Coturnix japonica: one gene and its partner. The protein of the gene in region 1 interacts with the protein of each later gene in a biochemical or structural test. Links are inferred from orthologs where the notes say so. Each region holds a gene or a part of one and is shown on either strand. Other genes may lie near its edges.

Region 1 (4,564 bases):
TGAACTGACTATTCACTGTTTATCCTTAGGTGTATAAAAAGTGAGGGAGAAATTGAAAAGCTTCAGTCCAAACTTGTAGAAATGAAGAAAAAGCTGGACAATACTACTGCTGCAATGCAGGAACTAGGCCGAGAAAACCAGTCATTACAGGTATAACTTCATTTTAAGCATTTAAACCTGTTGATTCTGTCTGTGGGGCTTGTGAGAAACAAAGTTTGCATTGCATTCATGGTGGGTTACCTTTCCACAGGGATTAAGGTGTTCCTGTGGTAGTATTACTTTCTGTAGGTTAACTCTATTCAGGGTTTTCTTTTGGAGAAAACATGAGTGTTATGGCAGAACTGACGTTTTTACTGCCTAGTATGTGCAGTGAAATTAAACAAATTAGGAGGAATTAGATATGCATTTTGATTTGTGTTATTTTTGTAAATTTAAATAGATCAAACACACTCAAGCTCTCAACAGGAAATGGGCAGAAGACAATGAGGTGCAGAATTGTATGGCCTGCGGAAAAGGCTTTTCAGTGACTGTGAGAAGGGTAAGTGTGTTTTCCTGTGTTTCTGGGGGGGAGGGGGGGGGTGTTCTTTTTTTCTGTTGCTTTCAAACTATTTTATATTTAATACACTTTAGAAAATGGCTTTAAATTGTAGTGATATTTGAGATGTCTCAGAGTACGGGTGCTGTTTATGATGCCTTAAATACTAAAGGTAATGTTTGTGGGGCTTATTGTATTCATGCTTGCCATTTTAACAGCATTAGTTTATAAATAGTGTTAAAGATTTCAGTCCCCAAAAATGACAGTAGTTACAGTAAACTTTCTTATAACCAGTCTGGACTGGATTTACAAGTGAAAAAGTAATGTGAATTTGTTAAAATTGGATATGTGTGAAAGTATGAGACATCAACATAGAGTGGAGCTTTGTGACTGTATCTTTGTAAGCACTAGCTAAACTCAACAGAACAGAAGAAACAACTGTCTGTGCTTTAGGTCTGTAAAACAGTTGTTGTCAGGTAGGATCTTAGCACCCCTTCATTGGTGGGGGTCAGCCCTTCATCCAGAGATTATTATCTCTCCACCAAGTGACCTGGCAGTGAAGTAGGTGAGGGATATTCATAAGGTTCATTTTGCAGTGCTTCCTGACTTCTTGTTAGGTTGTTCTCCCTGTCCTATGTTATTTGGTGTCATGTCTTTTGGGTAGTCTTTGAACAAAGGTGGCTGGATTGTTTTATTCAAGGGTACTTACCTAATGTGGAAGCAGGAACATGTTTTTTGCAACCAAAAAAAGTTAAAGAGGAGGAAATAATAAGGAGAATTATTTACAACCTGTTCCATTCTGAAACTAGAATAGACAGCACTCAGTGAAGCAGCATGTCTAATGATTTTGCTCCTATGTCCCTTAGTAAGGACTTATGCTATGCTCTTCTATGTAGATATAAGCTCAGGGTGTGATGGAACTACTGTTTAAAAATCCAAACTTCTGAAACACAAGAGAGTTGAGTTGACATGATAATGATCTCCCTTAATGATCTGTGCCCACAGCACTGTAATCAATATTCACAGTATATGTTTGTTTTCTCTTTCACAGCATCACTGTAGACAGTGTGGAAATATCTTTTGTGCTGAGTGCTCAGCAAAGAATGCCTTAACTCCTTCTTCTAAGAAGCCTGTCCGGGTCTGTGATACTTGCTTTAATGACTTGCAAGGATAACTGGTGTGAGTGACAAAGAAATGTTACACTAAAATTTATTATTTCTGTTGATGCACTTCATTCAGCACTCAGACTACTACTCAGTTTGGACAATGATTGTAACACTTGGCAAAATTTAGTATATTTTAAAATGTTTATTGATACCAAGTAAAACTATTGTATTTTTTGTGAGATATGGGCTCAGATCACCCAAGCTTATTGCCGTCTATCCTGGAAAGAGCTTCTATGTCTAGAAATTAGATTAGAAATACCCGGTTATTTGTAAATAAAGTTTAAACAGAGGAGTAACAATGTATTTTTTTATCTTTATTTTTTTTTTTTCAAGAGAAAATGCGTTTATGTGATATTGCAGTTTATTCTTGTTTCCTTCAATGAAAAAGGAAGATGCAAAAACTTGTGAGGATTTTGTGTATCAAATGTTGCTGTAATAGCATAACTCGTTGCATTTGATTGTGTATCTGATGGTCTTTATAACCCCTTGTGTTTTTATTTTCTTTCTCTCTGGTTTTTGGACTTTTCTCTTTAAAGTTCGAACTCCACATTGAGGGGACATGGCTGGACGTAACTCTCAGTTTTACTTGCTCACTTAGAACTTGTAGTATCAGCACCTGAGTTCTTACCCAACTACAGGACTTGGATACTGGAATATCTTTATGCATACTGTACTGCATAATTTGTGTGTGTATGTGTGCGTGCGTATGTATGAACAAGTGATGAGACCAAGTTTAGTGGGCATTGTAGGAACATTACGTGAAGCTCTCCCACGTGGACTGATTTCACTTTTACATATTTGATGAATTGATTTTAATATCCCAGAAACCCTTTATATGCAGGATTTCAAAAACAGACAGTGCAGATAGTAGCCTGTAGCTCATCTGTCACCATGCCATAGTCTGGGAGCTCCAAGGAGTCCTTGTGGTTCTGAGGCATGTCCTGAAATTCCACAACTAGGAATTCTACTAAGAAAAACTCTCCTCAGGGGAGGTGCTGCATTTGAGCTGAACGTTTCTCCTGTCTCTTACTTCAGCTTTTGATGGAAGAAGCTGAACAGCTGGTACTCCTAAGAGACCTCATTTTTCCATTGTTTCGTCTGTCCCCTGTTGCTGAGGGTTCTTAAATTGTATGCTAGTCCTATGATTTAGTCTGCTTAGAATGGTGATGCAAATCTCCTGGTGCTGGCTTAGCTTTAAGCCAAACAGCTCTAAGTAAGCAGGTCAATATATACAGTTTTAGATCATAGATTCATTGAATTGCTTGGGCTAAAGGGGCCTTTAAAGATAACTACTCCAACCCCCTTGCAATGGACACTAAACCAGGTTACTCAGAGTCTCATCTGACCTAACTTTGAACATTTCCTCTGATGGGGCAGCCAAAGCTTCTCTGGGCAATCTCTTCTGGTGTCTCACCACCCTGTGTTTGTTCTGATTTTATTCTTCTGTATTAGCAACAGAGGTTTCCTGATGCGTTCATGTAAATTCTAAATCTTTTTATTGTGCTTTTATCTACCCTTGTGTTTTTTTCTTGCCCGTGTCTAACTTTGAATCTCTTTGAAGTAAGTATCCAGTGTTTGGCCTCAGAATTGTTATTATTTCTTCTGAGCTAAGGTTATATGTTCTCATACTTAGAGCCCCTTTGTCTAGAATGCTGTAATAAATTCCTTACAACCCAAGCCATTCTCTGTCCTAAAAAACTGTGCTGGCTGTTCAGAGATAAGGAATATGGCCTCAGTTCCTCTACTGCTGCCTCCCAAGGTAAAGAAGAAGGTTCTGTTACAGTGGTGGACAGTTAGCCATCTTTAGGTAGGTTTGTTTACTTTTGTGTGCTGACAGGCCTGTATGTGAATGAAGAGGAGACTTTTGTGACAAATGTATAGCCCTGACTCTCAAATGAAAAGGCTTCTTAATCATTCATCCCCAGTAGTGATCTGTGTTTCATATCCTAACTACCTAGTTAGGTAGATTGCATCCTCACCTCAACAATTCTTTCTCAGTAAGTTTTCTTACTTCCCAGAAGCCAGCTGAGTTATTTAACTGGTTCTCACAACTATAGAAGGGCTTGGAGTAAAAGCATGATAACATGAAATACTTTTCAACTTTTCTAGTTTGAACTCGAGAGTTGCCTGCTTGAAAGAAACCATTGCTGCAATGACTCTGTGTGAACAGACATTCTGGACTTGCTGCATCACCTTGTTGCAACTGCTCAAAATAATAATTCTTGGAATAGAAAGTAAGAGCAGAACTTTGCTTCTGGTAATTTCTTCTATCTATTTATTGGCTGAGGGAATCCAGAAGGTTTGCTTTCAAGCCTTTTATTTGTCTGACAAGTGACTTCAGAACTCTGGCAAAGGTGATGAGATTGGATTCTTGCTCCAGCCTAGGTCTGGTTGTGAAGCAGATGGAACCTAGTGCTGCTTTCAGGGTAAAGGACAACCACATTAAGCAGAAGGGATTTTAAGAATGAAGGGGGAAGCCTCTCACAGCTGTACCGAGGACAAAATGTATGTGGTAGATGAAGATGGAAATCTCTCAAGGGAGCGGGGGAAGTGGTTAAAAGATTCACTTGTGTTCAGATGTTTTACTTTTGTATGGGGATGTTTGAAACATGAGGAGATGGCTCTACAGTAAGGAGAAAATAGTAGGAGATGGCTCTACAGTAAGGAGAAAATAGTAGAAGTTCTAATGGCATTGCTCCTGATTTAATCTTTTGCAATGCTTTTGTGTAAAAATGAGCAAAGTCACCTCAAGGAGCTGGTTGCTGAGGCAGTGTGTTTGGTTGACCACGGCGTAACTCTTAATGTGGAGCTCCCCATCTTCAGGGTGAAACCAGCTGTTTCTAAAGGTTGTTTTTGATGACCA
Region 2 (4,693 bases), on another chromosome or scaffold:
CCTTTTTCTTCATCCAAGTGACTCAGCCCATATGCACAACAGAAACTAGTTACCTCAGAACCCAAGCAACATCTCTAGGATCTCACTCCAACTTTTGCAAGCTTCAGGCAATCCTAAGCCACATGCACTCCATCCATTTCCTGAGCAGAACGCACAAAACATCCTGCAGGGGCAAAGCACGAGCAAACTCAAGCTGTGATTTCAAATCCATTTAAGAAAGCCGCCTCAAACCCCTTTAATATTCCCAGCTGGGCAGTGCAGCTGTTCCACTGAGTTAAAGCAATAGCAAAGATTAACCCTTACTCCCTCCCCCCCACGCAGCACTGTCACACAGCTGGTTCTCAGGCACAGAGCCTCGGGGTGCTCATATCCCTCAATCCTTTCACCAGGGTCTCTCAACCTCCTCCAAAGATGTTCAGCAATTATCCCTTAGCAAAAGTTCCCGAAAGCACCTCATGAGATGCAAAGGTATTACACTTATATACCACCTTTGGAGGCAGAGGTTTTAATGCTAAAGCTGAATGAGCATAAGCAGCAAGAGTTACTGCCACACTGGCCACACGGGCACTACAAAGAAGCTCCATGCCTAATCCAGCGGGGGTTTTAATTCTGCAGAATAGCATGACTAATTGCTTTCAAAACTGCAGTTAGTGTGCTATTAGATCACCACGGGCTGAAGGGAGAAACGTGCAATTAGGGCAGGCTGAGGTGCTGTGCTCCTGCCCTTCCTCGTGCTTCGGGAAAGCATTTGGACCTACAGGTGACCATGGGCCCACATCCCCACCTGCTGACACAGCAAGTGAGCTCGTTCCAGATCAGCACGATGGAGACCCAAGCAAGTGAGCTTCCAGTACAGCTTCAGTCAAGCCATGGAAACAGCACACTTGTAAAGACTGCTTTAAAAGCAGCAGGATGAGAGGCGGCAGCTTCCGAGCAAGTGTTAGAGAGACATAAATTGCAGCACACAACTTCTACCGATTCATTTTATATAAGCTTCTCTTTGGCTGTATGGAACAAGGTCCCACATCCCAGGTACCAGAACCCCCTGCTCCCATGTTAACCCCCCTCCCGCAGGTATTGCCTGCATCCAGTTCTTCTCAGCACTGCAAGAACTCTGCCCTATGTCCAGCAGCTGATGCACTGCCAGGTTAACGACACTCCAGATACTGTGCAGACCAACTCAAAATTGACCTAAGTTTGTAACCCTGCAGGCAAGGTTCCCACAGCTCCCATTCCATACACTGCACTGTGCAGCACGCTCTCAAAAGGCTCAACTTCCTTTCGGCCAGAAATCCAGCAGCATTCACCCATAGACAGCACCTGCTCCTTGCTGAAAAAGGCACGACTGTTAACAATGCAGAGCAGAAAACAGCCATCTTCACCACAAGAGACTCGGTGACCTTCATTATATCTTTCCCAGTCTGCACAAAGATCTCCTGCCTCCAGTGGCTCCTTTTTTGGAGCGCTACCATATCAAAGCAAACATGAAAGCTGGTGTTTCCTTATCTGTTTATGTAGGACTACTCCAGTAGTTTGTTCCCGTGCTTCAGGGGAAGCCAGCATTCACATCAGAATTAAGACAGAGCGTTACTATTCCCCATAACGCCACTTCCAGGAAGCCGTGCTGTTTCTGGTTGGCAGATGGAACGTGTTCATAGTTACTGACAATTTCACAGAACTTGCATAAGAGAACTTCAAACTTCATATCCCAGGGGAAGGAAAGTGCTGACTCTGCCATTCCCTTCTTCTAAGCACGCTGACCAAAATACTTCAGGCTACACCCACTTCATTAGAAGCGTTTCCATTTTACTTCCTGTGTCTGGAAAGACTTGGCGCTGCTCTTCCCCCACCTAAGGAGATGCGTGACCATCTAATGGGTGACCATGCAGCACCTCACGGCAGGACTGAGCTGATGACCCCTCCTTTACATGCAGAGCTTTGCTGCGATGACAACAATTTCACTTCTCATCACTGCTCTTCCACACCTCGAGGTCTGGCTGAGCTCACAGAACCAGACTGTTACTCAGCTTTTGTTTCAGACAGTGTCCAATCCATCACTGGCTTCACTGTTACAGCAAAGTGACCCAAATCCAAGTCTGTCCACAGTAAAACCAGGTAAGTGTTTGACTTGACCACATCCACCTACTGAGCTAGCTGCCCCCATACTGCTCTCCCTTCCCCAGGGCTTCCATTTATCTTGCTCCCTCACCCTATGGGGTATTAAAGCCTGACTTCAACAGCCCTAGTGCCAGGCAGTGCAGGTCCCTTATCTTAAAATGAACATAGTTTGAATTAGCCTATGGTATCTCAGTGGGAAAAACTGCCTGTAGAGGTTGACCTGCTATGAAAGCACTTGACTGTTGGGGCATCCTGTTGAGACACAATTACTGAAGCCAAACATGGCTTTTCTAACCTTAGAGGTCTGTACAGACTCCAGCTTTACCTGCTGTTCTCATTCCAGGAGGGCATTAAGGCCAACATTGCCCTGCAGCAGCCTACAAACACCATTCAAGACTCCAGCACTGCACTACGTGAGGTGTCATTCTATAAGCAGGGCAGCTTGAGCATTTGCAAAGCCCCCAGACAAAAAACTAAGAATAGTAGATGCAACTTGTTCCATATGAGACTTAAAACAGCGTCTCAGTGCACTCTGTCCTCTCATTTCCTTACACATTTGGAAACCATCAAGGTCAGAGCTCCAACAGCCACACACAGCAACAAGGGAAGGGCCACAGCTCCCTGTGCAGGCTGCTCACAGTCAGGTGCTGCCATTAACACACACGGTGCTGCCATTAACACACACGGTGCTGCCATTAACACACACGGTGCTGCCATTCCTACCACGGGTGCTGCATATACCCTGATTCACCACACGGCGCTTCCCAGCAGCAGCATCAACCCAACAGGTCCGAGCTCTACAGCACCTACTGGCAGCACACAAAGCCGCACTGTCCGTTCAGGCCGCGCCCAGGACCCGCTGCACCCACCGCAGCACAGAGCGACCGCAACAAGCAGCAGCCGGGGACCGACCGCCCCGACCCCGCCCCATCCATCCCCACCGGGCGGACCGTCCGTGAGCCGGGCCCGAGCGATACGGGACAGCACGGACAGCACACACCGCACACACCGCCCGCAGGCCGGGCCGAGCAGCGGCCTGGAGCCCCGCCGGCCTCACTCAGCTCAACCCGCAGCTCAACGAACCCTCCGCCCGCACTCACCGCCCGCAGGGCCGCTCCCCGCCGCGGGTGCGTCTCGCAGGCCCCGGCCCTCACTTCCGCCTTTACCCGTTCCGCTTCCGGACCCGTCCACCGCTTCCGTTCCTGCCGTGCATGTCACTGGTAACTGCGGCTGTCAATCATCTTTGTCCCGCCTCCTCGTGTCTCCGCCTCCTGATGGACGCGTTGCGTCACGTGATCTGCGCTCCTCTACGTAATGCGTGTCTTTCGCAGAGCACCATGGGAATTGTAGTCCCCGGGTGTCCCCGCAGCGCCCCCCGAGCAGCTCGGCCACATCCCAACACAACACCCGCCAAACCTCCCCAAACCCCTTTAGTGCCCCCAAATCTGCCCCAAAACAGCCCAAAATCTGCCCCCAATCGCCCCCAGCAGCAGCGCAGCCCGGAGCTGCACAAATCGCTCATTTATTTCCCGTTCCGTCCGTCTCAGCGCGGAGCGGCCGAAGAACAGCGCGGGGCAGCTGGTCCCGCACGGTGCCGGTTCCGGTTCCGGTCCCGGTTCCCCCCAGCCCCGCATCGCCCGGGGGCGGCCGGCGCCCAACAGCGGCCCGAGGGATGAGCGGCCCCGGGGCGGGTTTATATGAAGCCCCGTAATGCGACGAGTGTCAAAACCGGCATCGAACAAACCCGGCACCGGCCGCTCGAGGCGAATCCGGAGCCGGGGGGTCCCGCCGCGTCTCAGCTGGACGAACCGGAGCGGGGCTGCGGGCGGACGCGGGCGGAGCAGCCCGGGAACGAGTGGGCGGAACGGGGCGGAACCGCGGGCGGAGGCGTCGGGGACTGAGGGACGGGGCGGGACGGGCGCGGTGCGGGCTGGGGAGCGGCGGGGGACGGAGGGTGCGGAGCCTCCGAGCCCAGCCCCGGGGCACCGGACGGAGCGGGAACGGAGCGACTGCGGGCGGGAGCGCAGCTGCAGGCGGGGGAGGAGCCCCGGGAGGCGGCGGGGGCCGGCGGGGGCCGGGAGGGCGGCGAGGAGGCTCCGGGCGGGCGACGGGGGCACGCGGGGGGCGGCGGGCGGCCCTGGAGCAGCTCCAGCACCCGCTGCAGCTCCCGGCTGAGCTGCGAAACCTCGCGGTTGAGGTGGGCGATCTGCAACGGGGACGGAAAGCGGCGTGAGCCCCGACGGGACGGGGGAGCCCCGCGCTCCCGGGCGGCCCCGCACCTCCCGGCTCAGCCGCACGATGCTGCGCTCCGCCGCCTCCACCTCCGCCAGCAGCGCCGGGCCGCGCTCCGCAGTCCCTGCCGGGCAGACAGCGCACGTCGCCGGGATCCCCTCGTTCCCCGCTCCGCCATTTGGCGCGGCCGTACCTGGTGGCGGGGAGCCCCTGGACCCGCCCCGCAGCCGAGGGGCCGCTCCGAAGCAGGAGGTTCGCGCGTCCCGGGTCCCCCCGTCGTCTTCGATCCCGTCCACCACCCTGCGGGGCGGCGGTGAGGACCCGACCTCGTCCTCGCCTCGTC

Evidence for each region.
Region 2: the proteins of EEA1 (region 1) and RAB5C form a complex in vitro, tested with the Homo sapiens proteins (2 studies listed by BioGRID and IntAct, with this or other methods). The link is inferred for Coturnix japonica from reciprocal best matches to the Homo sapiens genes EEA1 and RAB5C.

Annotation. Positions count from the first base shown.
Region 1 is NC_029516.1:40,649,341-40,653,904, reverse strand, and holds part of EEA1 (early endosome antigen 1), read left to right. Parts: intron 1-29; coding exon 30-150; intron 151-439; coding exon 440-538; intron 539-1,586; coding exon 1,587-1,709; 3' UTR 1,710-4,564. UniProt on the Homo sapiens protein: Binds phospholipid vesicles containing phosphatidylinositol 3-phosphate and participates in endosomal trafficking.
Region 2 is NC_029542.1:4,458,720-4,463,412, forward strand, and holds the start of RAB5C (ras-related protein Rab-5C), read right to left. Parts: upstream 3,360-4,693; 5' UTR 3,219-3,359; intron 1-3,218. UniProt on the Homo sapiens protein: The small GTPases Rab are key regulators of intracellular membrane trafficking, from the formation of transport vesicles to their fusion with membranes.